Linked DNA regions of Mytilus edulis. The protein of the gene in region 1 interacts with the protein of each later gene in a pairwise test. Links are inferred from orthologs where the notes say so. Each region holds a gene or a part of one and is shown on either strand. Other genes may lie near its edges.

Evidence for each region.
Region 2: the proteins of tuftelin-interacting protein 11-like (region 1) and ribosome assembly protein METTL17, mitochondrial-like interact in binary tests that used the Homo sapiens proteins (3 or more experiments, as listed by UniProt). The link is inferred for Mytilus edulis from reciprocal best matches to the Homo sapiens genes TFIP11 and METTL17.
Region 3: the proteins of tuftelin-interacting protein 11-like (region 1) and bystin-like interact in binary tests that used the Homo sapiens proteins (3 or more experiments, as listed by UniProt). The link is inferred for Mytilus edulis from reciprocal best matches to the Homo sapiens genes TFIP11 and BYSL.
Region 4: the proteins of tuftelin-interacting protein 11-like (region 1) and kinesin-like protein KIFC3 interact in binary tests that used the Homo sapiens proteins (3 or more experiments, as listed by UniProt). The link is inferred for Mytilus edulis from reciprocal best matches to the Homo sapiens genes TFIP11 and KIFC3.

Annotation. Positions count from the first base shown.
Region 1 is NC_092353.1:62,694,761-62,702,033, forward strand, and holds the start of tuftelin-interacting protein 11-like, read left to right. Parts: upstream 1-4,253; 5' UTR 4,254-4,365; intron 4,366-5,580; exon of another isoform or gene 5,581-5,679; intron 5,680-7,012; 5' UTR 7,013-7,043; coding exon 7,044-7,149; intron 7,150-7,273. UniProt on the Homo sapiens protein: Involved in pre-mRNA splicing, specifically in spliceosome disassembly during late-stage splicing events. Intron turnover seems to proceed through reactions in two lariat-intron associated complexes termed Intron Large (IL) and Intron Small (IS).
Region 2 is NC_092348.1:13,935,909-13,943,362, reverse strand, and holds the start of ribosome assembly protein METTL17, mitochondrial-like, read left to right. Parts: upstream 1-4,454; 5' UTR 4,455-4,476; coding exon 4,477-4,572; intron 4,573-7,454. Other genes in the region: diphosphomevalonate decarboxylase-like, read right to left, coding at 33-100, 1,693-1,763, 3,624-3,675. UniProt on the Homo sapiens protein: Mitochondrial ribosome (mitoribosome) assembly factor. Binds at the interface of the head and body domains of the mitochondrial small ribosomal subunit (mt-SSU), occluding the mRNA channel and preventing compaction of the head domain towards the body.
Region 3 is NC_092355.1:40,791,272-40,798,659, forward strand, and holds the start of bystin-like, read right to left. Parts: upstream 3,025-7,388; 5' UTR 2,962-3,024; coding exon 2,815-2,961; intron 1-2,814. Other genes in the region: 17-beta-hydroxysteroid dehydrogenase 13-like, read left to right, coding at 7,347-7,388. UniProt on the Homo sapiens protein: Required for processing of 20S pre-rRNA precursor and biogenesis of 40S ribosomal subunits. May be required for trophinin-dependent regulation of cell adhesion during implantation of human embryos.
Region 4 is NC_092348.1:92,546,899-92,554,731, reverse strand, and holds the start of kinesin-like protein KIFC3, read right to left. Parts: upstream 3,023-7,833; 5' UTR 2,904-3,022; intron 1-2,903. UniProt on the Homo sapiens protein: Minus-end microtubule-dependent motor protein. Involved in apically targeted transport. Required for zonula adherens maintenance.

The DNA.
Region 1 (7,273 bases):
TTGTTTAGATCTGATATTTTTTTCGTGCATGCAGCATTGTCTTCCTTTTCTTTCTCTAGTTTGGTGATTTTGTCTAAACATTCTTTCAACTGCTCTGTCGAATCTAGTTGGTTTTGACTTTTCACTAGTTTGCAGGTGAGAGTTCTTATAGTCTCTTGTGCACTTTTTAAAAGTTCTGATTTTGCGGAAACCACTGATTTATTTTTCCGTAATTGAATGTTTGCTTGTTTTAGTTCGACTTTCATTGGGGCTGCCTGGTCGAAAAAGTTCATGAATGCTGAATTTCGCACACTGCTGAATGGCAATTCCCTGAGACTGTTTTTATTTGAATAATACTGTATTAAACGGCGATTGTCTCTAAGTTGTTTTTTTGTTGAATTCTTTTGTTCACTTGACACTTTCGAACTTGTTGATTTAGTAAATCGAACTTTACCGAATAAACTTGGTCTAGCTGTGAAACACTGTCTTGCGAAATGTCCGAATTTGTCGCACGAGAAACATCTTTTGTTGTAAGCTAGACACATTTCGAAACGATGATGTGCAAGTCCACATTTACCACAAACTGGATATTGATGTGTGAAATGATTCTGTCTCCACATACTCCACTGCGGTCTTAGATTAAAATCCATCACTGAAAGTTGATACGAAGATGGGGAAGAACTCTGGTCGCTTGACTGCTGAGGTACGCGGTACCGTGTGTTGTACTAAAAAGACAACACGCCTCTGGATTACCTCCGCCAAATGTGACAACGTTGTTGTAACTGGAATGTTTGATACCGTGCAACAGGTTCTGTTGCTGAAACTGGCGAAGATGCCGAAACGAATGACAGTGACCGAAGACTGGTCCCCTGCCTATTGAACATAAATCCACTGGCGGAACTAACTCACAGACTGGTAGAGCGAATACAAACGAAGACTTTCAGTATAGATTTTATTTTCACTTTAATGAACGGATGATGTCAGTTCAAAAGGCTGACTCCGACTAAAGAATTAACTTCAGTCGAAACATTATAAAGATAGACAATGTTTACAGGTTGTCAAAGAATTAAGATTACATAACAATAAAGTTGACAAATTTTACAAACATAAGATTAACACTTTAAAGTAACAATAGACCGTAATTGAAAAACGGATTAATGTCATTGTTATCAAACATGTCCTGGACAAGAACTGATAAAATATATATTGAAAAGAATTATCTATGTACGACATTAACGGATTAAAATAATTATGAAATGAAATAGTTGTGTAACATAAATTAACACAATCCCTTGTATAGTTTTTCTCACAGTTTTAGATTAAAAAGTGACACACATGAAAGATCTTTAAGAATGCAAATCAAAGTACATTGTCTGTTGAATTAGAATGAAATTGTCCGAAAGATTAAACAGAAACTATAAATAATATAAGAAACAAGTCCAAATGTCCGAAATAAGAAATACATAAATTAGTGCGACTTTTTCCACGTTCACATATCTATGATGAGTTTATTTACTTTCGAATGATTTTACTTATACTTTATATGAAAAAAAGGATGTCCAATGCTAGATTTAAGTACAACTCTTTGTAAGAACCAGGAAGAGTGCGATATATGAAGGTTTCAGATTTTATCTTATAATTGACATAGTAGAAGCAGTAAATAATGAATACTGCTCAAAAATAATTATGAGTGGGAAAATATGAATGGTTGCCATGTTAACGAACAATCTATTTTTTGGTTGTTAAGAGTAGAAAAAGCTTTAAAAAATCAGCTAAATCACCGCAATTTAGAGCCTGATTATGAATAGAATCATGTATTTTTCATTAATGTTCATATGTAACATTGATACAACTTGGTTTAAGCTTCATTTTAGTGAAGATTGCATGTCAGCCAAATGACAAAATGTCGTGATATTTTCAACTTTTCTGAAATTGTTTTTTTTCTTCTTCTAAATTATCAAATTTTCTCTGGTGTTTTTTTTTAGAAAAGTCCAAATGTGTACAGAATAGTTAGCACTGTAGTTATGAAGTTTGGATACTACTTTACCAAATTAAATGAAAAAAAAATACGTGGGATTTTCTATAGTTTTATCACCATAGCAACCGATTTTTTATTTGCAGAATATCGCAGTTTGAGAGCTTAAATGTCATAACCGATAAAAATATATAAAAGCTAACGCAAACTTTAAATTACTATCGTCAAGTGTTGTTGACTTCAATTGTTACTATGGAAACATATATTATCTATAGCAACATCACCTCAAAAACTGCATAATTAGAAATTTATGTAAAAAAATATGTAAATAGAGTGTTTATTTTCAAATTAGAATATGACTTCACTCTTCACTCACAGTCTTGTCTTATTTGCCCCGACTTTATTCTAAAATATCCTATAAATCTCATTCATAGAGTTATACACATGGGAATACAATATGAAATAGATGAGGAACAATTTGATTGGGAACTCATGTTTGTTTTAACACAAACAAGAAAAACCTTAACCATTGTCCTTACAACAAAATTATTTTTAATGTTTAAACCCGCTGTATCTTTTTGTACCTGTCCGCGGATAAGTAAGGAACCTGTTGTTCAGCGGTTGCTGTTTGTTGATGTTTTTCATAAGTGTTTCTCGTTTCACATTTTTTAATTAGTTAAGGCCGTCGGGTTTCTTGTTTGAATGCTATTACACTAGTCATGTTTGGGCAATTTATAGCTAGCTGTTCGGTTTGAGCCAAATAAGGCTCCGTGTTGAAGACCGTACTTTGACCTACAACGGTTTACTTTAACAAATTATGACTTGGAGAGTTGTCCCATCATGCTCATTGGCACTCATACCACATTTCCCTTGTAGATTTCGAAAAAAGAGCAACATAATGCCTCTACAAGGTAACACTCGCACGCGCAAAAAAAAAGAAAAGTAGGTAAGTAAGTATAAGTAAAACTATATTTGGACTCGGCATATTGACAAACAGTACAAACATAAGCTCTAATGAGCTATTCACCGAATATAAAAACATATGCAATAACAAATAAAACAAGGCATGCAGAATAAATAATAAAATGCAGCACCAGAAATTAAGAAAGGGATAAATATGAGTTTCAATAACGTGTTCCCCAATCCACTATACATATTATAAAAATGTTTAAACTAAAACTAACTAATCTAACATTTTCTTATAAAGTTGAGCCGGGTTGATCATTTTTCAAACTTATTCTGAGAAATACATGTAAAGAGGGGCGGCATAAAGTGACGACAAAAAAATAATAATCAGAAAATTAGAATGATTTATATAATCTATGCGATACAAAAAGCAGTAACATAAGCCAAATCATACAATGACTACACAAATAAAACAAACCTAAATGATTTCATTAAACACGGAAATTATAGCTTTTTCATAACCGAAGTTGGTTAAATATTAAATTTTAGTCATTATCATTGTCGTGTTTTCAAATACGAATGCATTAAGGTCAAGGAACAGTAAATGGGCTATGTCGCAGATTTTGTTAAAAAATTGCATACAACCTTGGCTCGTTGAACTACAACTGAAAATCGAAAAATTTATACATTTATCTCTTTTATTTTCTGAAAAATTGCAGATTGATTTCTCTTAATATGGGTGAACATTTGTATATAGGAAGCACATAAAATCGACTAAAAACCTTCTAAAATTTGTCTTTAAATCGCCAAATCTATAATTCTACTCCATAGATTTTTCTTAAAAAACTATATATTGTTGACACATAAATTTCTGTTTTAATGATATAAAATAATCATAGGGTCACCGACTTCGTTTTTTGTCTAATAATCATTTTGCTACCTTATTGGTAGTGAAAAACGTCAAAAATCAACGTTTTACGGCCTGCAACGCGATAACGTTACGATTATTTCGACGTTTTGTTGGTTTTTTTCACAAAGAACGCATCTTTGAATGATATATACCGTAAAAACGAAGTCGGTGACCCTATCTTTATTTTGCATCATTATAACGGAAATTTATGTATCAACAACATATAGTTTTTTAAGAAAAATCTATGGAGTAGAATTAGAGATTTGGCGATTTTAAGACAAATTTTAGAAGAGTTTTCGCCGATTTTATGTGCTTTCTATACAAATGTTCACCCATTTTGTAAGAATTCAATCAGTAATATTTCAAATGATAATTGAGATAAATGCATTATTATTTCGATTTTCAGTTGAAGTTCATCGAGCCAGAGCTGTATGCCAAATTTTACTGAAATCTATGACATAGCCCATTTACTGTAACTTGACCTTAAAAAATACTATTGAACGTTGAAGAAAAATTGTTTGTGTTCCCTTCTGGTTTTGCAAAGCAGAAGTATTTAGCTGATAGACCATACAGACGGTGCTTCATTAGCTAGCAGGTATACAGGTTTATGAACTCAAAATATTTAGAATTTTTTGATTTTAAGATTACCTGTAAGTTACGTTAATGCCAAAAGTAGGATGATGACACGAACGTATACCCTACAACTACAAGCTGATCGGCATAAAATTCAGCAGATATGAAATTGCTCCAACTCGTCAAATGTGCAATCAAGAACCAGAAGACCTTACTCATATGCTTACTACCTGCTCAGCATTAAAGTGAGACAAGAAAAGAAACTTTCAACCAGATAAAAACTTATGTAACCAAATATCATTGGAGGAATGTCAAATGAAGTGGAAAGAGAACATTCATTGATAGACATAAAATTACAGTCCTTGTAATTGACTGTACAAACTTCACATATATATTTAGTGAAAGCAAGCTCAAAATAGAAGAACTATAGTCGCCCTCAGTTGAAATTCGTAGCGGTTATCGGTAAAAATAATCTAACCTATCAATCGCTTTCACTCGAGATATAGTTTTTCACATTCCATTCATAAATCGCAAAAAGTCAAACCACTACTGACCTACCTTTTAAGTCATCACACTGTAGTAATCATAATATGAGGCAGCCATTACCTGTGAATGGGGACGAAGTCTGTAATTTTTTTTTTTAATTCAAACATGTTGATAAAAGAAACGGAAATACCGTAACGTTTCCGATGTTGGTTCTGTTGTAAGGGGTTTAGTTGTGACGTTATTTAAGTTATGACGTAATATTCAATGTAAACATAGAAACGCTGTTATCCAGGTAACGTTTTTTTCATATCAAACAATTATTAAAAATGATTGGGTGTTGATTTCCTTCCTATATAATATTTGTTGATATATTGATAAATATACATTTTATTCAAAGTCTCATGCAAACAAGACCGGAAACGGAAGAAGACTGGAAACGGAAGTAGATCTGAAAAAAAAGTTAACGATTTTGAGTTCATTAGTACAATGAAAAATTCGGGAAATTTTCCCGAAATTTAAAAAAAAAAAATTTTTTATTGATTTTTCTACCGTAATTGGGGACTTTGTCCCCATATAATCCTGACCTTCACATTTTCCAGAATGTTTTCCATTGTAATTCCACCATCTTCTTTCTATGAGGATCATTAGTTTACATATGATATTCGTCACTTACACAGTTTCCTGAAATGTTCTTTTCATTGATGTGATAAGGTTTCCCGCGCTTTATGCAAATTTTATGAAACTGATCTCCACGGAAGCACTTCCGGTAAAAACAATGGCGGATTCCACCATTCAAAATCGTCTTGGAAAATGTGAAGGTCAGGATTATCACATTGCAATCACTTAAAAGGTAGGTCAGTAGTGTGGTTTTTCTTTTTGCGATTTATGAATGGAATATGAAAAACTATATCATGAATGAACGTGGTTGATAGTCTAGATTAGTTTTACCGATAACCGCTACGAATTTCAGCTGACAGCGACTATAAAAATGCTCACAAGAGATATGTGCTACAAGATGCATAACACAACACTAAAACTGATAAGTGTGTATTGGCTGTTGACAATTATCAGTCAACTCAGAAACTTAAGTCTATTTTAGATTTTAGCAAGTGTTTACATATATTCACAGAGTGTGTACATAGTTAAAGACTTTTATCCATATTACCCTCAAAAGAGGGGTGTTCCTAAAAGAGGAAGATGAAGAAGAAGAAGTTAATAATGTTTTATGCATATGGTTCATCAAAAATTATCTGTAACTTGTTAGGTTCATAATTTATAACAACTTAGATATACATGATATACAGATACACAACTTGTTCGACCACAGTACCATTTCATCTATAGCCGTTTTGCCCTCTTCATTTGATAATGTTCTATTTGCAGCCCTACCCTATGATTATGATATTAAAATAAGTCAGGCATTAGAAGCCACTACCTATCTAAAAAAAACCCAGCTAAACAGCCATACAATCAGTGGTTTTGCTAGCCCTCTTCACTTTCATAATTTACGAAATGGTTTTCGCATTGACTAAAGTAATGTATTTCAAATCAATTTCGTTATTTTTTTTTTAAATTTTGGAAGTGTAAAAATATTTTCACATTAAAATACTTTAAATTTACCTGTCTTTATGTTTTTGACAAGTTTATGACCCTTAGGTAATTTACATTTACAGGTGTTACAAGTTGTGATTACAACTAATCCGCTTATTGCCATCCTATGGGTCACTAATCTGTTAATTATTTATAAACCTCATAATTGACCATCACAATTATTTTCCCCAGGAAAATCAGTAAGTCTGCATTGCAACATCCAGGAGTATAGTTTCTTCATTTGATCAAAATTGTTTCCCCACTGACAGTTCACATTTGAATTTTAATACTTCTCCAACGATCACAATTTGAAGTTCCTTTGTCGTAGATTTATCAGTTAAACGCATTTTCGTCATATTTGATATGAGGCTGGTCATCAACATGATTTACATGGTCATACTGGTATATACATGTCCAAAAATGATTTAAAATTCTCATCCAATCAAAAAGATTGGGAAATTTTAAGATTCTTTGAAAACAATTAAAAAAAAAAGAAGAAATAAATTTTTTACAAAACAAAACTTAAATTTGCATGTACAAACCATGTTCAAAACTGTGTTTGTATTTCAATATCATGCAATGATTGCTTTCAGTTTGTTGTTCATGTTGTTTAGACAGTGAACTATGTCTTCACCAGAAGTAGAAAGATTTGAGGTTACAGAAGATGATTTGGCAAATGAATTCTACCCAAGAATGGGAAGGAGACAGACCAAAAACCAGGCCATATATGGTATGTAAAATATGAGACAGAATTTGTTATAAAGTCAATTTATTATTTATAACATCAAGGGAGATAATATTGTAAAACATTGTTTTTTATTTTGATGTCAAAGCTATACATGGAACTTGATTGG
Region 2 (7,454 bases), on another chromosome or scaffold:
AGCTTTATAAAATAACTCCTATAAAGACTTACACACCATTCAGCCAGATCTGATCTTTTGTAAAGTTTGGACAGGCAGCTATTGTAGTTTTAGTCCTCAGCTGAAAATAAAGTGTAAAATATACATGTAGAGTACAGTCAGATCTGATCTTTTGTAAAGTTTGGACTGGCAGCTATTGTTGTTTCAGTCCTCAACTGAAAATAAAGTGTAAAATATACATTTGTACATGTCGATTACTGTGGATTCATTTATTTTCGTGGGTACCAATTTTCATGGTTTGAGGAAAATTTGCATATTCGTGGATATTTAATTTCGTGGTTTTGGCAAAGTCTGCACACATTACTTTAGAAAATTTGTAATTCGTTGAATATCTAAATTCGTGGTTCTCCTGTACCCACAAAACCATGAACATGATGAAAATTAGTATCCAACGAATATAAATGAATTCACAGTATTTTTTTTACTATTCATGAAAATACTATTTTCAAAAAATCTTTCACAATTTTATAATTTATTTCCTGCCAAAAACCATATGAGTATTTTCAACAGATGTAAATTACCAACAGTTGATAGTGTTGTGTTATAAGTATTACATGCAAAAAATTTTTTTATTTCAAGCATTGACATTCATTTTTTTAATTTTTAAAATGTTAGATTTTCATATTCATGCATCATGTGCATAGAAACAGGAAAAGACTTTCTATGAAATGGAAATAGCATTATAATCATGATACAACATAGTAATAAGACTATGATTCTGGTTCATTTTCCGATACCAATATTTTTGGGGATTAAAAATAAATAGCATTTTCAGGGATATCATATGGATATCATGGTTTTGCCTGCAGTCTGTATACAAATCCTATAAAAAAAAACTTTGTTTAATATTAAATAAGTTGTTTTTCTATATTACCCATGATATCAATGAATATAGGCAACCCACCAAATCATTATTGAAAAATAATTTGACATAAAAAGAAATTGTCAAGAGGAACACAGCCTGCATTCATGTTAGAAAATGACCCATATTTTCATGACAAATATTCTGATAAACGGTCATGCAGGTTTGATATGAAAAAATACAACTAACTGAGCGAAAGCTGTTGATGTGGAAGATGCTAGATTTGTTCATTTATTAGGTTTATATATTCAACCAATAAGTTAAGGATACAGGTCTATTTGGACAGAAGCTTATAAGAGGGTTTAAAGGGTTATTTTCATGCAACTTTTTTGCCATTTTTATTTCACGTGCAGCTGTGAAAAAGGTTCGTTGTTCACTGTGTTTCATGAAATCAGTAAAAAGATCAACCTGCAACCATTTTTCAATTGTTCGTTCATCGTGAAATGGCTATTTTGTTGGTCTCATTGGGGTCTAAGTGTGACGTGGGATTGCTGATTTTTTTTGTAAGCGTGACACGTGAAAGTCAAATTATTGTGCCGTGAAAACGGGAAATGAAGTCTGGCGGGACACTGGAAATTACAAAAAAATGAGAATTCCTTACGTACATAGTGTAAGCGGGATACGGGAATCTGACACAACAATAAGCGGGATCCAGGATCAGAACCCCCCCCCCCCAATGAGACTCCCAATTTTATTTTGTGTTCTTCTGTGCACATACCCCCCTTTACACCCCTCTTATAACTATGCCAAATAAATAAACATTAGCTGCATATTCACCATGTTCACAATACCTCATTCTGATGAAGTGTCACACTAACTGAAGAGTTCAATGGCAGTATCAATTTCTCATTTCTCTTTCCCCCTGAAATTTAGAAAAAAAAATTATTCATTATACATTTTAAATTATAGGTCATTTTTAAATTATAATTCATTTCCTATTCATTTATTATGATGATCATTTATGAGGTTTTATAATGATAATTAAGGGATTAGTGACCCATCTGATTGGCGATAGGCGGATTACTTGTCATCACAACTTTTAACACCTTTTTGACGAAATTGATATGAAATATTTTCGTCATTTCTAAAACCTTTTCGTAAAATACGAAAGTGACGAGCGCTAGCAAAATCACTGCCTATTGCCTATATTGTAATGTTTTAAAAACAGGCGACCATGTCTAATGATGTCACATGAAAAGAACACAATTTTCCACAAATCTTTGAAAAGGAATGATATTTTTTTAGATATCGTCTACAAATCATTAGAGAATTAGATTTTACTACTATCATGACTATATCATGTGTATAACAATACCTCTCAACTCTCAACAGTAAAATTTTACATATATTCAAAACGCATGACAAGACTCAAAATTTAACTGTCTGGAGTGGAGAAATACTGTAACACACTTGATGCAGTTGTGGAATCTATATATCATGTATATAAATATAAGAAGATGCTGGTTTTTTTAAAGCAATTCTCTATTCCTGATTTTTTCATAAGCTGTATATATTGTTAACATAATTATAACACGTCTAGTGTGTTTATGAAGTTATACATACATGTATGAAACACAAGTGTGCACAAACTGAAATGTATCACCTGCTTTTATAACTGTGTTTGATATTTTGTTGGTACATGTAGTCATACATTTTTACTACAAATATCACATAAACTTAAGTCTTCACATTATCATAATCCATGAAATGAGTCAAGGTCAGATAAACCATTTACCAATACAGACAGACATGTAGTTATTGTACACTTTAAATCTTTTCATATATACTAAATATAGTTTACATATTACATATAGTCATGATACATGTAGTAAACAAGAAAAAGACCAGTGAAACCATGAAATTGTAATATTGAACAAAGAACATGAAGAACAATGAAAAAGAGGTATAACTGAATAATCATGTTTTTATTTCAATTTGAATTATTAATGTATTTTACATTTGCATGATTAAATTGATTGATTGGTGGTTACTTAACGTCCAGTGGCAAATATTTCATGCATGTTTTACATGGTTAACATGGTTTAAGGACATGAACTAATTAACAATTAATAAAATAGGTAGGCCCTGTCACAGCCTCACAGGTGCTTGAGGATAGGATCCTGTATGAGCCCCATATAGTACCTCCCCCTTATTATCATAAATCTCAGATTTTTCGATACATATATCACTTATGTGTACCATATATATACTAATATATCATATTTTTACTATAAATATGCATGTTTACTATCAACGTGAATCTCAACTATAGCGCTCCTGTCCTCAAGCATCTGTGGGCCCTGCTGCAACAGACCTACATACGAGGGGGAGGACAGGGGTAAGGAAGACAGGGAGAAAGGGGTAAGGAAGACAGGGAGAAAGGGGTAGGAGAAAGGAGAAAGGGGGTAGGAGAAAGGAGAGGAAGGCTGGGAGAAAGGAGAAAATGTTTGAGAAAAAAATTAAATATGAAAAAAATTAAATATGAAAAAATCTTTTTTCCGGTAAATTAAAAAAAATAAAATAAGGAGATGAGGGGTAGCAGAAAGGAGAAGAGGGTGGGAGAAGGGAGAAGGGTACCCCCCTGTCCTCCCCCTCACATACCCCTAAAGGATCTGAATTTTCAAGGTAAATGGCTACTTATTCGACCTTTACTGCTTTTGAATAGTAGCACCTGGCCCTTTACATTTACATTAAAACTGCCATTGATACTGTAGTTCCTTACAATATTTAATAACAGCAATATTTACAGGTCCTGTGCAGGTGTCACACTGCATTTCCTGGCTTGTGTAAGATGAAGGAAAACTGCTGAAAGCTTCCGAAAGTAAATATTATTGACCGTGGCCTGTATTTCATATTTTTTTTTTTTTTCAATCATATGGTTTTTCGAGATAACTAATTGCAGATAACCACAAAATTTTCTTTTTTTACGAATTGGTCTTCTCTTGCAGCTGTTTCTGTTTTATTTAATTAATGTCCGTCGTTGTATGTATGTACTGGTAAATGCCTCCGATATCCGAAGAACCCCTCGAAAGCTGCGAGGGTACAGTGGCATCCATGTACACTCCCTAACGGGATTAATGGAGATGTGTCACTAACGTATATTTATACGACAATTATTTTTACAAGGACAACCAATCCCCACCCAATTCAACACAAAGGGAGTGCTAGGACACCGGGAAGTCTGTTATTGTGGTGGAGGAAGCCGAAGTACTCGGAGAGAACCACCGGGCCACTCGGTGGAAACAGACAAACCAGAGAGATATCAGAAGATTGATCTCCAGGTCAAAGTAGGGACACTTTGACCAACCGAGGCCCCCAACGTACCCATTCTAGTTTAAACTCCGGTCTGGGTACCAGAGATGTGTGTGAGAGGGTGAAAATTACCCTTCTAATGTACTGAGATTTTTAGCACCCCGAGTGAGAATCGAACTCGGGACCTTCAGCACTGTAGCCATCGGTCTTAACCACTAGACCACGAACCGTTGTCTTTCTATTTAAATTTTCTTTTATGAAATATTAGACAAAACTTGACTTTCGGTTTTTTCTAGGGTTTTCTTTCCATTCAACTTAGAAAAATGGCAGCCCCCATGCACAGGGCAAGAGTTTCTTCTTGGAAACTGTTTTCTCGACAATATAGAAAAAAATCGACCAAAATCATACACCCATCAGAGGTAAATCATCCGTTTCAAATTTTTTTCACCAACCACGTTAATTTTTATCTTTTTTGCCACCTTAGCTTGAACTCTGAGATTCGTCTGACATTCGGTTACACAATCATGACATGAGGGTCAGGTAATGGGGGACCTTCATGACGAATAACGGTAAAAATTCTTGTCAAATGATGTTAATGGTAATTTTTGGCGCATGACACTTTCTTTTAGACGAGCTAATTTTAACCAATCACAGTAATTTTTTCCCTAAAAATGACGGTAATGATAATTATTTGAAACCTCTAACGAATCGCGAATCACGATAAGGATAATTTGATGAATCATGGTAAAATTTTAACCAATTTGACGCTAACGGTAGCCGAAAATGACCGTTTCACGCCTGATGGTAAAGGGCATTACTACCCTCAATCATGTCATGATGTCCAGCTGAATTTAAATATGAGGCAGGCACAACCTGTGAATGGGGATGAAGTCTGTATGCATTATTTTTTTGAATTCAAACATTGATAAAAGAAACAGAAATACCGTAACGTTCCGATTTTGGTTCGGTTGTTAGGGATTTAGCTGTGACGTAGTCTAGCTGTGACGTTCTTAAAGTTAATATGAGGCAGGCATTACCTGTGAATGGGGACGAAGTCTGTATTAATTTTTTTTTTAATTCAAACATGTTGACTGATAAATATATATTTTATTCAAAGTCTCATGCAAACAAGACCGGAAAAGGAAGTAGATTTTTTGCGCGAATGCGGGGAAAACTGGAACAGGAAGTAGATCTGAAAAAAAAGTTAACGATTTTGAGTTCATTTGTAAAATTTTTCTACCATAATTGGGGACCTCGTCCCCATACAAGTTTTCCTCTATACTTGTTATCTCAATATCTGTATTATTCATACCCCAACACTCCTGACCCAAAGACAGGTCGGACCACATCCACTCTGACCATCTAAAAAAAACAATTCAGACCATATAAGAAGACAACTCAGACTGTCAATAAGACAACTCGGATCGTCTATAAGAACAACACAGCCAAAGTGTTAAAGGAGGATTTAAACTATACATAAATTATTATAAATTATTAAACAATATATTTTAGATTGCAACATCATTTCGCCATGTTACTGACTTTGCAAAAAAAAAACAACACCAACTCGGATCATCTACAACACTCAACATGCTAAATTGTCTATATAGGCATCGCTTCATAGAAAGTCCGAGTTATTGTTATTTATATAAATTGACTGTAAAACTTTCATCAGACATATAGCTTTCACCCTTAAATCATTTATTTCATCAAAAGTCTTATTTTATACTTAGTCTGAGTTGTTATTATAGACGGTCCGAGTTGTCTAATTGACGGTCCACGTTTTCTTATTGACGGTCCGAGTTGTCTTCATAGACTGTCCCAGTAGACTTTAATGGAGACAGTCTTAGTTGTCTCCTGGCCGACTTCTCTTGCACCCGTCCTTGTAAACATTGTTGTAATAAAGTTAATCAAGATAGGGCATGTAGGGAGTGTACACAGATTCTACTGTACCTTCGCAGCTCCTAAACATGTGCCTAAAAGTGGCTTTAAAACACAAAAAATCTTATATCTATGACATTTATAAACAAACATACATTTTTCGCTGCTTTGAAGACCCATTGGTTGTCTTTGGCTGTTGTCTGCTGAGCTATGGTCGGGTTGTTTTCTCTTTGACAAATTCCCCATTTCCTCAATTTTATACAATGTAGGTAACTTCACAGTTAGTTCGGCCATATTGAATAGGGGAGCAAATTTGTTTTCGAAAGAGGTGGAAATGGTTATATATATGAATTTTTTTTTACCTTTTGATAGATAAATGCCTATGGTTTCAGGAAAGGTATCATTCTAATGTATTGAAATTTTAAAAATATTTTGGTTTGCCCAAACCCTACCCAAACATGGAGACAGTTAGGTAGGTAGGCATTTTCTTTTTCTTTTTTTGACAAAGAGAAATTTAAGTATTGGACATCATGGACATGTTGGATGTTTAGAAGTCTTCATCATATTCATGCATATCTGATTAAAAAAAAATCACATGAGGACAATAAAAGATTTTGAGTCTGCAGCTATTTTCTGAGTAGGTAGGGCAAACAAACCTATTCTTTTGTTTGACCCAATTATGGGGACTTTTGTGACATTTTCACACCCTTTTAATTATTTTTGCAATATTTTGTATCAAATAAATGCAGATTGTTGCTATATTTACACCAAAAAGAGAATTTTTCACCATTATCACTCTTGCTCTTTCAATAAATATACACATATATATAAAGCCTTATTTTTCAGAAAAGAAGGAAAAGAATAGTGGTTAAAAATTATGAGTGTCAATTTATAGTTTTTTTCCTAACTGTGTATTACTAATTTTATGACTGGTCAAACCGAAACGTGGTAAATCATCATGATCATGATTAACATTCATTGACACTATGTTGCTAGTAACCTACTGAAGGCTTTTTTGTTATGGCCCCGCAACAAAGTTGTCAGGGACATTTAGTTTTACCCTTGTCCGAAATTCTGTAATTCCGAAATTCCATAATTCTGAAATTCCGTAATTCCGTAATTCCGAAATTCCGTAATATTGAAATTCCGTCATTCCGCAACAAACCATTATACAGGTTTTTTTCTAAACAGCTTTAGATATTGGACTTATTTTTGGTATGTGAGTTAACCATGATGAGTTACAGATCAAGTTTGAGTTTCGTTCCGCTTCACTAGTTTTTGTCGAAATTACGGGCTTTGGACTGAGAAACTGTTGAAAATCTCAGCTATATGGTTTTTTTTAAGGCCTTTAGATTTTGAGCAGATTTAGTATATGTGAGACTACCATCTTGTTAGTGTCCGCATGTGTTGTTGAAATTGC
Region 3 (7,388 bases), on another chromosome or scaffold:
GACGGTTAATTAAGAAGCTACATGACGTACATAGGACTTATACATAATTCATGAATGCAAAACTATTCAAAAATCTTCTGAATAGAACATCTAAATAGAATAAAGCATGGTTAATTGAATACATAAACAACACATTTTTGTGTTATGGAATTTACTAAAAATTGTCAAAAATCTGCCCTTCGGGTCTTAGCAGAAACGAACTTCTTTATTACTTTGTCAATAATCACACAAAAATCCCGATGAATATGCAGCAATGCTAGCGATGCTAAACCGTCGTTGTTCGTTGTTAATCGTACATATGTTTTCAACAGACGTAGTACAATGAACGATCTCTCTGCGGTAGCACCCGCGATATGTAATCCAGCGTGTTCGCCATCAAGCGACCTCCCGATTGAATTTGTCAAAATTACAAAATGTACATGACAAGTCAGTTTCTTTTGTCTCAAACAATGCTGTGATTTGTTCGTTTGTTGTATTTCCTACAACACGAGGAAGCAGATATGCGCAAAGCAGTGATTTTTCTGACTGATATCAGACGCGACTCCAGTTCCATAAATTATCATGTACCTATGTACATGTAGCTTCTTAATTAACCGTCCTATGGCCAAAACCCGAAAAACAAACAATTTTCCGGTACCACGATTTCCCGAGAAATACAAGAAAAACATTATATCCCCAAAACAAACTGATATATCCCGAGAAAAAGACAGTTGCTGGTGTTATGCTACGTTTTATAGTGTTATACTACTTTTAACAATATTAAAGAATATTAATTAAAGATATTACTCGTAAATTATCATGTGGTCTATGGACGCAAAATATAATGAGACTTTCCAAGACTGTTTTTGCGTGTTTGCAGGGTGATTGGCTTTGATAGTCACATTGCATCGGCATATTTAACGATATCGAAGGGTTCTGATAAATCTAATGGCCGATTGGTACATCGCATTCGAAACAGATAAACCGTACTCTGTAAAATGTTCTCCGAAACTACAAGAGTATAACAAATTATAATCTTGTAATAGATTCAAGTTACTGTCCGTTTTTGTCATCTGCAATAAAACTTTAATTTTGAAACCAAATGCCGCTATTTAATGACATTATATCATTTGAATACTCGTATGTGTATCCTTTATATTTTTAATTTATAAATTTTTATTTTGCAATTTATTTTTTTTGCATGCCGAATTGATGTGCACGCAACTGCGTGTTGGCGTATAGGGAGCTACGCGCCTGATTGACCTTGAAGTAAATGGTGTACCACGCGCATGCACATTCCTCAAAAAAAAAACTGTTTTCTTGAATGAATGTTTCATATGGACTTATTTCTGCTGTTTTGAAGTTTAGGTTGTTACAATAATTAATTGGACTGCCGAGGTATTTATCAGCCAAAGGTCTATAGCTACAATGTACATGGAACTTAAACAAGTTATTCAAGAAAATAAGAGGCATCATAATAAAATAAAGACATTATGTCATTTTTCTTAGTTTCTTTTGATACCTATTCTGACACAGACTTCTTTTAAGCTGATTTTTACTGTGCATATTGCTGGGTATCGGGACTGTTCGCCCTATAACATGTTCGCCCTAGGTCCGTTTGCTCAGAGTTCGTTCGCCCTCCTATAAAAATATTAATATTCAGGGCATTGAAGTTGAATAAACTTATTCAGATATTTCTATGATATATTTATCTTGTATATTCTTGAAATTTATGGAAACATTGAAATATTTAAAAGTTTATGGCTTGTTTAGGATCGTTAATTGTTCAATGACAAAATAATCACTGATTATTGTCATTGTCTTTTGATGAATTAATAATAAAAACAAACGTTTTGTTTTGATAAAATATTCAGCTTGAAATTAATAAAAACAATGATGTACGAACTGTTAATTATGAAAAGGATTTACAAGTTCATTTATTTATACTCTAAGACTAGTCATACTGCATACATTTGTGATTGACTGAATACAATTATTTTGTTAACAAATATCAATAAAGATAAATACATTGTATTCCAGTATTCTACTCTGCAAATCAAAGTGAAAATGATAAATTGATTGCGGCAATATAAATATTCTGTCAATTTTTCAACAAACTTAACATATTTTGTTCAAATACTTAAAATAATGCGACTAGACAACAATAAGAAAAAAAAAGAAAAATCAGGGCGAATGGACCCTGGGCGAACAGGTATCAGGGCGAACAGGTACTAGGGCGAACATGAATCAGGGCGAACGGACCCGGATTCATATTGCTGTGTGTTTGTTTTTTCGTCATTGGCTAGAGGTATTGGGAGATCTCACAAAATATGTTTTAACGTGCCACACTTTAGCTGAATTGACCCGGATCTGATTTGGTTTGTACCCATGACCATGTCATATCGGTTAAAAGCTCATTAGAGCTAATGTTGTCTTTGTTTGTATACCTTGCCAACTCTATATAAAGCTTATTTATTTATTATTTACCCCAGAAATGACCTATTTTATAAGCCTGTCTCTTGTCTGGGCACTATATTTATCTAGTCCAAATAATTATGACGTCTTGAAAGGCTATTATAATTTTTTGTAAGGCGTCAAAGAAAAAAATTATAATAGCCTTTCAAGACGTCATAATTATTTGGACTAATATTTATCATGTTATAGCTGATCGACTGTTTAGTATTTTGCATTGTTGAAAACCTTAGATGACTTTTAATTTCTTGTGTCCACGTCATTAGCACTCTGGTGTTGTCTCATCTGCTACTAGTTTGATTAACATTAAATCTCCTAATTTATGTAATAAAGCATTTATCATGCTTTATATCATGTTTATACCGAATCATCTTCGTCCTTTCTGTTACGAATTTTATTTCGGCCTTTGAGTTTAACTGATTTATCTGTTAAGATCTGATCTGCAAGTGTTTGGGTTTTGTCGGTTTCGCCCTCAGTTTTAGATACTTTAACTTTCTTTGCCTTTCCCATGTTTACAGGTTTCACGTGTTGACAATTAATATGGAAGAGATCGTTAGGTCCAGAGAAGTTCCGAAAATCCACAGTGTGCGAATAAAGGAATGATTGTATTATACAAATTAGTACCGGAATCATACTGTGATCAAAATCAGCTAAAACTGCTAATTAACTTCATACGCCGATTTTTTTAAATTAAAAAATCATTTATAAGTATTAAAAAATCAACATCAATGTTACCTTAGCGTTAAAAAGATTATTGGACAAGTCGGTTCGGAGAAGTTTTGGACCGATTATGTTAAGTCAACTCGGACCATCTTATATCGACCCAGACAAGTATTTAAGGAAAGTTTGAAGTATTTAATGATTATAAACCATTTAATATTAAATTTTGAATAAAATTTTCTTTTGATAGTTCCTGAATTTGCCAAAATAATTTCATCCCTGTGAATAGACTTAATCCTACGGAATCGTATTAGCATGATTAGGGACAACACAAACTTAATTTGGGCTGGCAATGACCGATATCTGGCAAACATAACTATTTCGTATGGTAAGCCGTTGTGGAATTTATTGTACCACTGAATTTATTTTTTTATTTTTCTGGTGATGGCCACGTGGCCAAATATTCTGCATTGCCCCTATCAGAGCTTTGGAAAGACCTATTCATATCAATATTTATATTTTCAGGAAAAAATCAAAACATAATGTCACATTCACTGAGTTTACCACTGACCGATTTATTTACTTTGGTCGACATACGCGATTTGTAGGTATCTTTTTATTTATAGTCAAATAAGACGTACACGGAATTTCAACCCTTCCATGTATTACATTCAAATACTTGTAATACGATTTCCCTAACCTGGAGTCTGGACTAAGCAAACATACAAACTATTATTCCCATGCATACAGTTACGTTGTTTCTTGAATGCGGTCCAACGATTTACAGAAAAGAGCGACGATTTACAGAAAAGAACCGAAAAGAACCGAAAAGGACCAAAAAGAACCGAAAATGGACCGAAAAGAACCGAAAAGGAATACATATATATTTATTAAATAAAGTTAAAACCATGTATATATACATGGATTTTTTATAGTGTTAAAGTTTTGACTGCCAACAGTCCTTGTTAAGGTAAATATTTAGAAAATTGTTTATCTTTTTATAGGTAAAATACACTAATAAACCTGGAGCGCATAAGTCAATGTCAACACTAGTATTATTGAATTATTAGAGTATATTGCTATTATTTTGTTGCGTGTTTCCTGTAGTATTTTTTCATTACTCATATTACATATCTATCTATTGTCTGTGTATTGCATATATATATATATATATATTGTTTGTATGGCTATATGCCCTCCTAGGGGCCCTTATTTGGTGAATAAAAAAAAATCTTTTCTATTTTTCTATTCTATAAAATAGGCATCCAACCCTACCTGTAATTTTTCACATACATGTGAGTTAAAATTAGTCCTCTCACAGTATAAGGTTTTCAATGATTTGCAATTTGCTTATTTCCTTCGATTACAAAAAAAGTCGATATCCTTTTCGGTTCTTTTCGGTCCTTTTCGGTTCTTTTTGGTCCTTTTCGGTCCTTTTCGGTTCTTTTCTGTAAATCGTCGCTCTTTTCTGTAAGTCGTCGAACCCTCTTGAATGAGCGTAGTTACCGTTAGTCACGTTAGGCACGTGTCTACACAAATTGTTTTCAAAAATATTTTTATTTTATAAAAAAAATAAACAAAGTTATGCTCGCCAGCCGAGAGAAGCCGTCAAAACTCTCTTAAAATTATCAAATGTCATGTGTACACTAGTATATCATCCCTAGTGAATGGAGTATTGGATATAATTGAATGCCCCTTTTTATATAGAAAAGATATCTAAAACTTTGGTTCAGATCATTTCGTTTCTATCAACAAATACTAGATTAGACACAAAAGTCGTGATATTTGTCAATTTTGTTTAGTTGTAGCTGGCTTTCAACTGGCCCGAGAACACAGTTATTTCGTAGTGCATTTCTTTTAGACAATAAATTCAAATTGAAAAAATCGCACCTGCTCTTTCTCAAAAAGATATTACAATGTAGTATACTACTAGTGGGACAAATAATATCAAAATTATAGAAACCTCTACCAGCTCTAACTCAAAATAATGACTATTCTGTGATAAGGGGGTCATAATTCAGTTTGACAGCTTCAGACGTACTAAAATTATACATTTTTAACTGGACCAAATCACTTCTTAACATAAAGATTCGTTCAGCACCCAATTTTTTTTAACATGTAATTAAAATTATTTCATCCCCTTCTTCATATTCAAATCAATATGAGTTAGATGTAATAATTTCTCATATAGATATATCATATATATTTTAAACCAAGTGTTTTATTATTTACAGTCTAATTGTATTGTAATTGTGTATGTAATTTAAATTCTATATGCATAGATCTATGATAATCAATGTTCTGTTCCCTTATACTTGTATTCTCTATCCCTTGTGGGCCCTAAATTGGAAATAAAATATATGAGATATCTTATCTTATATGAGACAATATCTGAAAAAGTCTAATTTTTGGAAATAAGAAAAAACAAAAATTTTTTGTTTAGACCCAGTATTTTAATAGCACAAATCGAAGAACACACATTGGGGATCTAGGAACTGTTGTCTGTAATTCAAACAATTGTTTAATAAGGAAACAATGGCTATTATAAAAATGGTACAAAAAAAATCCAGTTCTTTCCTGTTACCAAAGTGAATCAATTTTAAAAAGTTTCTAATGGGAATAAGGAATAAGTTTAAGACAATATTTGTGGTTTACTAGTATATCCTGCAATAGTTTATCAAATGCCAATTATTGATTTTAGCATTTGCAATACAAAAGGTTTAGAAATATACTTAAATATAGTCAGATATGTCATATGTCGGTAACATGAAAGAATCTTGAGTAACAGCACAACGGTAAGAGGACAGAGTTGGTAACAGAAAGGATTTTTCTGCTTTATTTTAAAGTTTAAGAAAAATACATCATTTTAAATTGGTCACAATTGGAAGATAACAGCAAACAATGTCATTTATCCTTTGAAACTGTATTTGCAAGATGAAAAATCTGCCTAGGTAATGAAAAATTCTAAAATAAATTCCTTTCTGTTACCATCTACTAAACTAGAATTGCACAATGTTCTCTGCTGTTATCAAAAGCAAAAAAACAATTTTTTTATTCAATATACTTTATCTTATTTTGAAATTTATTTAATATGGTGGTGATAACTTATATTAAATGAAATGGTTGGCATATAGTAGATTAACTTTTCGATTCTTCAGTGACATTGTCTTGAACATCCTTCCTGTTACTGATGATGGTTATGCTGTTACTTTTTACCAGGTAACATGACGGAACGTAACAGAAAGGAATTACGCGATAGTTTTTGTCCTTTTTATCACATTAAATGTAAGTGTATTTCCTGTGACATATAACTTTTAAAAAGATGATATAAAAACACACTTAATGCTGTGGTGCACACTTAAAAATATTCTCAGAAAGTGTAAGAAAAGGCTGTAACAGGATAGAACACCAATAAGTATTTTTCTATAAATTCTTACCTTGGATGGGCTTGAATTTTCAAACCTGGCCGCCTTCCAACTATTTCTTTGTACTAATGCATTCAGGAAAAAGTAAAATCACAAAAATACTGAACTTAGAGGAAGATCAATTGGGAAAGTCCATAATCACATGGCAAAATCAAATAACAAAACGCATCAAAAACGAATGGACAAAAACTGTCATAATGATGCTCTTCACAATACATAATGGGAAAATAACTCTTGGTCTTGTAAACGTTTCCACAGGTAAAAAAAAAACCAGTGGTAACAGGAGGCAAATCACCCCTGGGGACAAATTTGTTTTCTCTTAAAATTTGCAAAATTTTATTACATGCTATAGTTATAATATAAAAAGACAAATTAGGGGCAAGTTTATTATATAATATATCATATATGTGAGAATCAGACGCCTGTTTAATTAATTTGGATATTATTTGAATGATTTAGTTTTCAAAAAAACACAGGGGACAACATGATTTTAGGGGGGTTGAACATTTAAATTACAATATTTTATTGGAAGAAATATAAGAATGAGTGTTTAATTGGCAGGACATGGTGCATTATATAACTTAGTTTCTACTAAAAATTTACAATTTTTTAGATATTGTCTCTTATATATATCCTGCATAGGATGGAAAATATTGTCGCAAAACTAACACTGTGCCCCTCGAGTGATTTTAATGAGTGCGGAAATCCTGTTTGATCATATTTATCATTCCTTTATTCATTCTCATTTTGTTGAATTCGAAACCTTCTTGGGTTTTTCCATTTCATGTCGTTAACAGGTAAACAGACGAAATGGCAACAGTTGTTGAAAAACTAATATTTTTCGTCTGCATT
Region 4 (7,833 bases), on another chromosome or scaffold:
ACGGACTCGAAAACGAGGACGTCACAATACAGTCACGACACTATAGCGGCGCCGAGAGCTATGCGTATAAACAATAGTGTGATTTCCCTTTAAGTGTCTATTTCAATTGATTCGATTAGTTTAGTGAAAGATTTTAACTGATTTAGTCATTAAAAAGCTGGGATTCAAGTTTAAATATGAAAAATCTAACAAATATATGCCAAAAAACGTCACTTTTCAAATGTTTTTTTGTGTTCATCCTCAACTTTATATATATTATGTAGTATCATCAAATACAACTTGCATTTCAATATTATGAATGAACACGAATGCGGCCACTTTCATTTCAGACGGACACCATCTAAAATTAGCTAAAATGCTAAAATTGTGAAGATTTCAGTAATTAAGCACGACTTATTGATGCTACTAACCGATATATGTGCATTGTATTGTCAAAAACAGCCCATATTTATCTAGCTGAAGCATTCTACTTTCCATTAAATAGCTTAAAGATTACATTTTCACAATTTTGTAAAACTGCTATATTTTGGGGCCAATAAGGGGTCTTACTGAACCTACTCCTTTGTATGATTTTCATGTTCATCTCAAGATTTGATTTATCTCCCTTTTACCTTCTCCAAAAGTATACATTGTACTTTACAAGTAATTTATATTCACAGCACCTTAAATTCTCAACCTTATTTTATGTCAATACATATACCTATATGTCCTATATATTTTTTCTGGTTTATTTTTGTATCACTAAAACTTTTTTAATGAGAGTTCAACTTTAACTCATGATCAAGGAAAAATAAAGATATACATGTACATTTATGGATGTAAAGTTGCTGTGCAAGGCCTTCAAAACTTGCTCCTTGGGTGTTTGGAAATGATATCATTTATATAAGTGGACCTGTAAAAGACAATTAAGTTCTTTGTCCATGAAATTATACATTTATGAATAGTATATTGACATCTACATGTGTATTACGGTAATTACAGAAAATCACTCTGACATTTACAGCAATGCAGTCAAAAGAAATTGAAACAAGAAGAAAATATGATTTTTTTTAACTTATATGACAAAATAGCCCTTTTTCCAAACTAATTATAGAGTATTTAAAAAGAACAAGGTGATTTTTAGATCTAGCAAGCCTGAATCCCAATCCCGGATGCTAAAAATATATACCAAAGGACTGTGAGAAATACATAAGCACCAGATTAAGATGAAATCAATACATTTTATCGGACCACAGATGAATTATCACGTTGTGATTGGTTAAACGTATGGGGTTAGTAAGTTTCATATGGGGTTCATGACGTGTTAATGGCGACGTCATCTATTAATGTTGTTGTGTTTCATTGTTTATTTTTCAACAAAACGCCGTAGAAAAAGTCAAGCGTCCAATAAATTCGTTATACGGTTAACTACTGACGCCCTACGGATCCATAGAGGGTGAATAAAATTCATAGGGGACTCGGCCTCCGGCCTCACCCCCTATGGATTTTACTAACCCTCTATGGATCCGTAGGGGGTCAGTAGCGAACCATATAACTTATAGTAGTACTATATGACAAGTTTTAACTGAAGGATTTCACCTGTAAAGGTAAATATTTACCACTTGCATAAGTATTAGGCCTGACTTTGTCTGAGATACATGTATATCAGAGACATATAAACTTGTGCATGATGTGATCATATGTCTCTGGGTAAGAGAGGATTGCTGGATTTCCAGACGCAATAGTCACATTTAAATGACATTCATAGGATGTGTAGGCAATACAGCCACAAATGGAAGTTTTTAACGACCTTGACTGGCTATACAGCCCTTGCATGGTCTGCCCTGGCTTGCGCCTTTTTGGGCATTAAATAATTTAATTTTTACCATGTGGTAATTGAAATAATTTAGAATGATAAGTTTAATAAAAATGTTAAATAAACAAAAATTTAAATAAATAAATAAATAATTTTTTTTATAAATAAGTAAATAAATAAAGAAAAGAATATAAAAATAAATATAATAAAATAATATAAGATAATTTTGTTTAATAAAAAATAAAAAAAAATAAAAAAAAAAAAATTAATAAATATTTAATAAACATGGTGCCACCAGAAGTAGGAACAGGAGGAAAGCTAGGCTAAGCAAACAGCAGTGAACGGCAGCAACGTTTTCCTGGTAGTCCTGGTACACCAGCAGCCAAGTAAAGAGCGGATAATTTTGATATGCCAAATTGTGTATGTGAATTTATATGCCAAATATTTTGTATAAACCGAAATAAGCCTAAATTTGTGTATGTGAGTTTTGCAAAAATAATTAGTGAGTTGTTTTGTATGTACTAAAAAAAAATGATAGGTAAAATAAAATAAAATAAAATAAATATAAAACCAAAGGGTGTATGTAAATTTTTACTGCTTTGTGCTAGCCTACCGTAGTTGCAGGACTTTATAGTGCTAGTACACTGGAACGCTATCCTCAGGAAGACAGCGCCCCACAACATGTGACTTCATTCTAAATATCACATAAAATGCATACCAATGCAAGGATACAGTGTCTATTACATCATACCTATTTTTAGATATTTTGCTATTTTGTTACCAAACAGAATATGATATTATGGATATTGTGTAAGTTTTGTATTTCTTTATCAGCCACAAGAATGTGTCTCTGTAAAAAAATACATTTGGATAGTCGACCTGTCCTTCTCGTGGATATCAGTGGATATCATAGAAACAAGTACCTCTAGTTATAAATAATTTGTAGTAGTGTTTACAGTCAAATAAATTATTTATAGACATTTACATGACAAGAAACAAGTGCCTGTTGACCCATCTGAAGTACAGTATACTTCTTTCGACAGCACCCAATAGGTGTTCTCATCTTATCGAAACATTATTTAGTATTATCGTAAACTGAAAGTCTTACCAAGATATTATTCAAAATTGCTTGCAAACCAGATATCAAATTTCCCGGAAATTTTTAAACTTTTACGTCACCAAATATTGTGTACAAAGAAATCTTCCGCTCGTATCGGTAAAGATTAGAATAAAATGCGGGAATTGGATTTTGGTTTTTTTTAGAGTTATTCTTCGTAGTCCACACTTTTGTTCAGTTTAACCAGAGACATATATAGTTTAACCAGGGACTTTCTATATCATATAGAGGATATATTAGTATAATTTAATTTTGGATGTAACGCGTCTTCTGATTGGCTGACGTTCTTCTTCTCTTCTTCTTTATATACAGAAAAACATCAACTGGTTGATGATTACTGATCATTACTTTCCGGCGCATGCCTGGTTTAACAATATTGTTAATGATTAAAAATATATATTTTTGGTTTCTTAATAATTTTTCAATTTTTATGATACAAATGTATATGTAAGTAATATTTTTCAATTTTTATTTTTAATTTTTTTTTATGAGCCCATAGACATAATTTAGTCATGTGACTGTGACGTCATCAACGTTTTTTCATTGTTTTCTACGGTTTAAGATGGAATTTAGAATTAAATTATAAGAAATGACTGTAATATTTTTTCTGTCTATGAAGAAATAACATAAAAAAATTGGTGCACACTGAATAACGCGCGTAGCGGGTTATTTAACAGTGTGCACCACATTTTTTATGTTATTTCGACATTTCGATGTAGGATGCAAATTTCAGTATAAAGACAATATGCGCAAGTGGGTGATAAATTTTGTCCTGCATTTTTTTTATAGTTGTAATCTCTTTCAAGCCCGTTTTCATTTTTCATTCTCATGATTTTGTCCTGCCTTCTTTTTTATTAGTTTATCCAAGGATATAGAAACATAACTTCTAAACCCCCTACCAAATTTTTCAACCAATTGTAACCAGATACAGATATGTATTTATTTTCTAAAATCATTTTAAATGTTTTATAAATTATATAGACTTTTTTGTAATACAGTACAACATATTTTTTTACTTACATGTAATATTGTAAAAATAGTGCATAACAAAAAATCAGAATATGAAGCCACATTTGGCAAAAAATTAGGCAACCTATGGGTCTTCAGGTTCAAATATATAGAGAGAGTTAAACCAAATGCTATTGAGTTTCATGTTTCTCCTGTAGCTTGTTTTTATAATTAATATTTAAAGGTATTGATAAAATTCTATATAAGATACATGCAGCTTCATTAATTTTTCATTTTAGCAAACACCTATTTGTGGTTTTATTGCATTATTCAATGTCTTTGTTTTTTTCAATGCTTATATATTCATAGTATAATTTATGATAATGCCATGCATGTAATTGTATGTGAATCAACAAAATAAAACATGAAACTGTTGCTTTTGATCATATTATAAAGACAACATATGTTAAATGCCTCTATTAAGTATATTTTTATTTACAATACATTGGAAAAGTAGGATAGGACACCAACCTTTTTATTACTAAGTTGGCATAGGACATCATTTTTTTTTCAGTCAGAAAGCCATAGGGTTGTAACTTTTATTAAATGTTTTTATTTTTTGCACCGGTCCTATGTGACGATAAATTTTGACCGGTTCCTAACTTCGTACTTTATTTGTCGTTTCCAGATCTTTAAAAATCCTGTTAAAATTCCGAGAAAAAAATTACTTATTCATAAAAATGCACGTCACACAGTACATAAATTTAACAGTACATATTACCACAGGTAAAGACATAACCGTTGAAACACAAACAGGGATCTGCATGTCACAAACAAGTATGATATATCATTTGACAGAAGCCTTTGGATAAGTTTGAAATAAAACAGGAGAGAGAAAAAAATAGTATTTTATGTGCAATACATAATGTGTATTTTGAGTTCATTTTTTTTTTATGAAACTTTCATGCGACAGTACTATTTAAGCACTATGAATATTACTGACATAGAATACAACTTTTTCCCTGATGAAACAGGGGCATATAGATACCGTAATGCACTATAGGCCTTATTTCAACCCCTCAAAAATATAAAAAAATAAAAAATAAAAATAAAAAACGTTAATAAGAAATAACGACAACGTATGAGATTATCATGATTTTCCCAAACTTGATAATCATTGCACCTTTCAACTATCAAATGTTTTGCATTTCCCTGAGATTATCAAGCATGTTACAAAATAGTAATAAGATCTGGAAATTAAAAAAAATATATTTCGTAATTTCTTTTATCTAAAATAACACATTGATTTAGTGTTATAAGATTTTATAATAAAATTAACGGTTCCAATTTTCTTGCGCATTTCGACAATACATGTCTCTTCAGTGATACTCGTGGCCAAAATATTATAATTGACGTATGACAAGACAAATATACATCATTATGCAAATAGTTTTTACTTGCTTTATTTGTTATGTTTTTTTTCTAGTCAATATGAATAAACAGAACCTTGTTCTAGTTTTTATAATGAGGATAAACAGTGTACTTTAAACATGTCTGTTTTTTGTTAGCTTGAGCTTGCGGATTTCTATATAGATTAGTAGCATATACTGTATAATCCTTACTAGTGTTGAGGGTGTTTTTTTTAGCTTGTCCTTGCAGGTTTCTATATAGGTTAGTAGTATATACTGTATAATCCTTACTAGTGTTGAGGGTGTTTTTTTTAGCTTGTCCTTGCAGGTTTCTATATAGGTTAGTAGTATATACTGTATAATCCTTACTAGTGTTGAGGGTGTTTTTTTTTAGCTTGTCCTGCCAGATTTCTATATAGATTAGTAGTATATACTGTATAATCCTTACTAGTGTTGAGGGTGTTTTTTTTAGCTTGTCCTGCCAGATTTCTATATAGATTAGTAGCATATACTGTATAATCCTTACTAGTGTTGAGGGTGTTTTTTTTAGCTTGTCCTTGCAGATTTCTATATAGGTTAGTAGTATATACTGTATAATCCTTACTAGTGTTGAGGGTGTTTTTTTTAGCTTGTCCTGCCAGATTTCTATATAGATTAGTAGTATATACTGTATAATCCTTACTAGTGTTGAGGGTGGTTTTTTTAGCTTGTCCTGCCAGATTTCTATATAGATTAGTAGTATATACTGTATAATCCTTACTAGTGTTGAGGGTGTTTTTTTTAGCTTGTCCTGCCAGATTTCTATATAGATTAGTAGTATATACTGTATAATCCTTACTAGTGTTGAGGGTGTTTTTTTTAGCTTGTCCTGCCAGATTTCTATATAGATTAGAAGTATATACTGTATAATCCTTACTAGTGTTGAGGGTGTTTTTTTTAGCTTGTCCTGCCAGATTTCTATATAGATTAGTAGTATATACTGTATAATCCTTACTAGTGTTGAGGGTGTTTTTTTTAGCTTGTCCTGCCAGATTTCTATATAGATTAGTAGTATATACTGTATAATCCTTACTAGTGTTGAGGGTGTTTTTTTTTAGCTTGTCCTTGCAGATTTCTATATAGATTAGTAGTATATACTGTATAATCCTTACTAGTGTTGAGGGTGTTTTTTTTTAGCTTGTCCTGCCAGATTTCTATATAGATTAGTAGTATATACTGTATAATCCTTACTAGTGTTGAGGGTGTTTTTTTTAGCTTGTCCTGCCAGATTTCTATATAGATTAGTAGTATATACTGTATAATCCTTACTAGTGTTGAGGGTGTTTTTTTTAGCTTGTCCTTGCAGATTTCTATATAGATTAATAGATTAAAATAATTGTTAAGATATATTATTTATTCAAATGTTCTCTTATATCCTTGAGGCATCGTCCCCTGGTATCAACTGCATTCAAGTTACCTATGATGCTTCCTTGTTTGCTTTTGATACAGGTAGGAAAGAGACATTTACACACATTTTACATGCCTATGGCCCATAAGGTATCGCCCCCTGGTGTCAGCTGCCTTTAGGAAACCATAATGCTTTCCTATTTGCTGCTGACACAGGATGAGTCATGGACATGTTTAATTTCTACTTTCTTTTTGGCTAATTATTATATATTTAATTGATCCAACTTTTTGTGTACTATACATATGTGGATATCTATTTTTCTTTTTTTCTTTTTGGGCTGCTTGTTTGTTATCTATATCAACCACACTTGCAATAAAATGCATTAGTATTAAAAAAAAAAAAAAAAAACATACTATAGATTTCTTTATCTACGTATTCTTTAAGAACTTAAATAGTTCTCGTTTACCTTTTTTTTTTTTATTATTATCTCATTGTTTGTATTGTATTATGAAAAAAAATTATTGATGTTGTAATGTTTATGCCCTTTGGGGCCCATAATTGGAAAAATAAAATATCTTAGTAGTATATACAGTATAATCCTTACTAGTGTTGAGGGTGTTTTTTTTAGCTTGTCCTGCCAGATTTCTATATAGATTAGTAGTATATACTGTATAATCCTTACTAGTGTTGAGGGTGTTTTTTTTAGCTTGTCCTGCCAGATTTCTATATAGATTAGTAGTATATACTGTATAAACCTGACTAGTGTTGAGTGTGGTTTTGTCAGTTTCTTTTTTTACCAAAAAGCAAAGTGTGTTTGTCTTTGTCTATAGATTTTAATCGCGTCTTCTTTTTTTATAAAATATAATTAAACTGTAGAATCCACGTGAATTTGTGGAGAATGAAAATGAGATAGAGTTAGAGATAATCATAAATTAAGAGACACGAAAGCTAAGAGAAGGACTATTCAGTATAACAATGGAAAGTTTCAGTTTATCATATCGTCTTCTAAGGAGGATTATGGTTCTTTGCTGTCGAAGAAGTCACCTACAAGCAAATAAAAAAATGTTTTACTGTAACTGTGGAAGGGAGCAACAATGTTTTAGTTCTTTATAAAAAAAAAATAACACTATAAGGTACAGGGGAAAGTCCGGATTCATAATAATTTTTTTTGTCATCT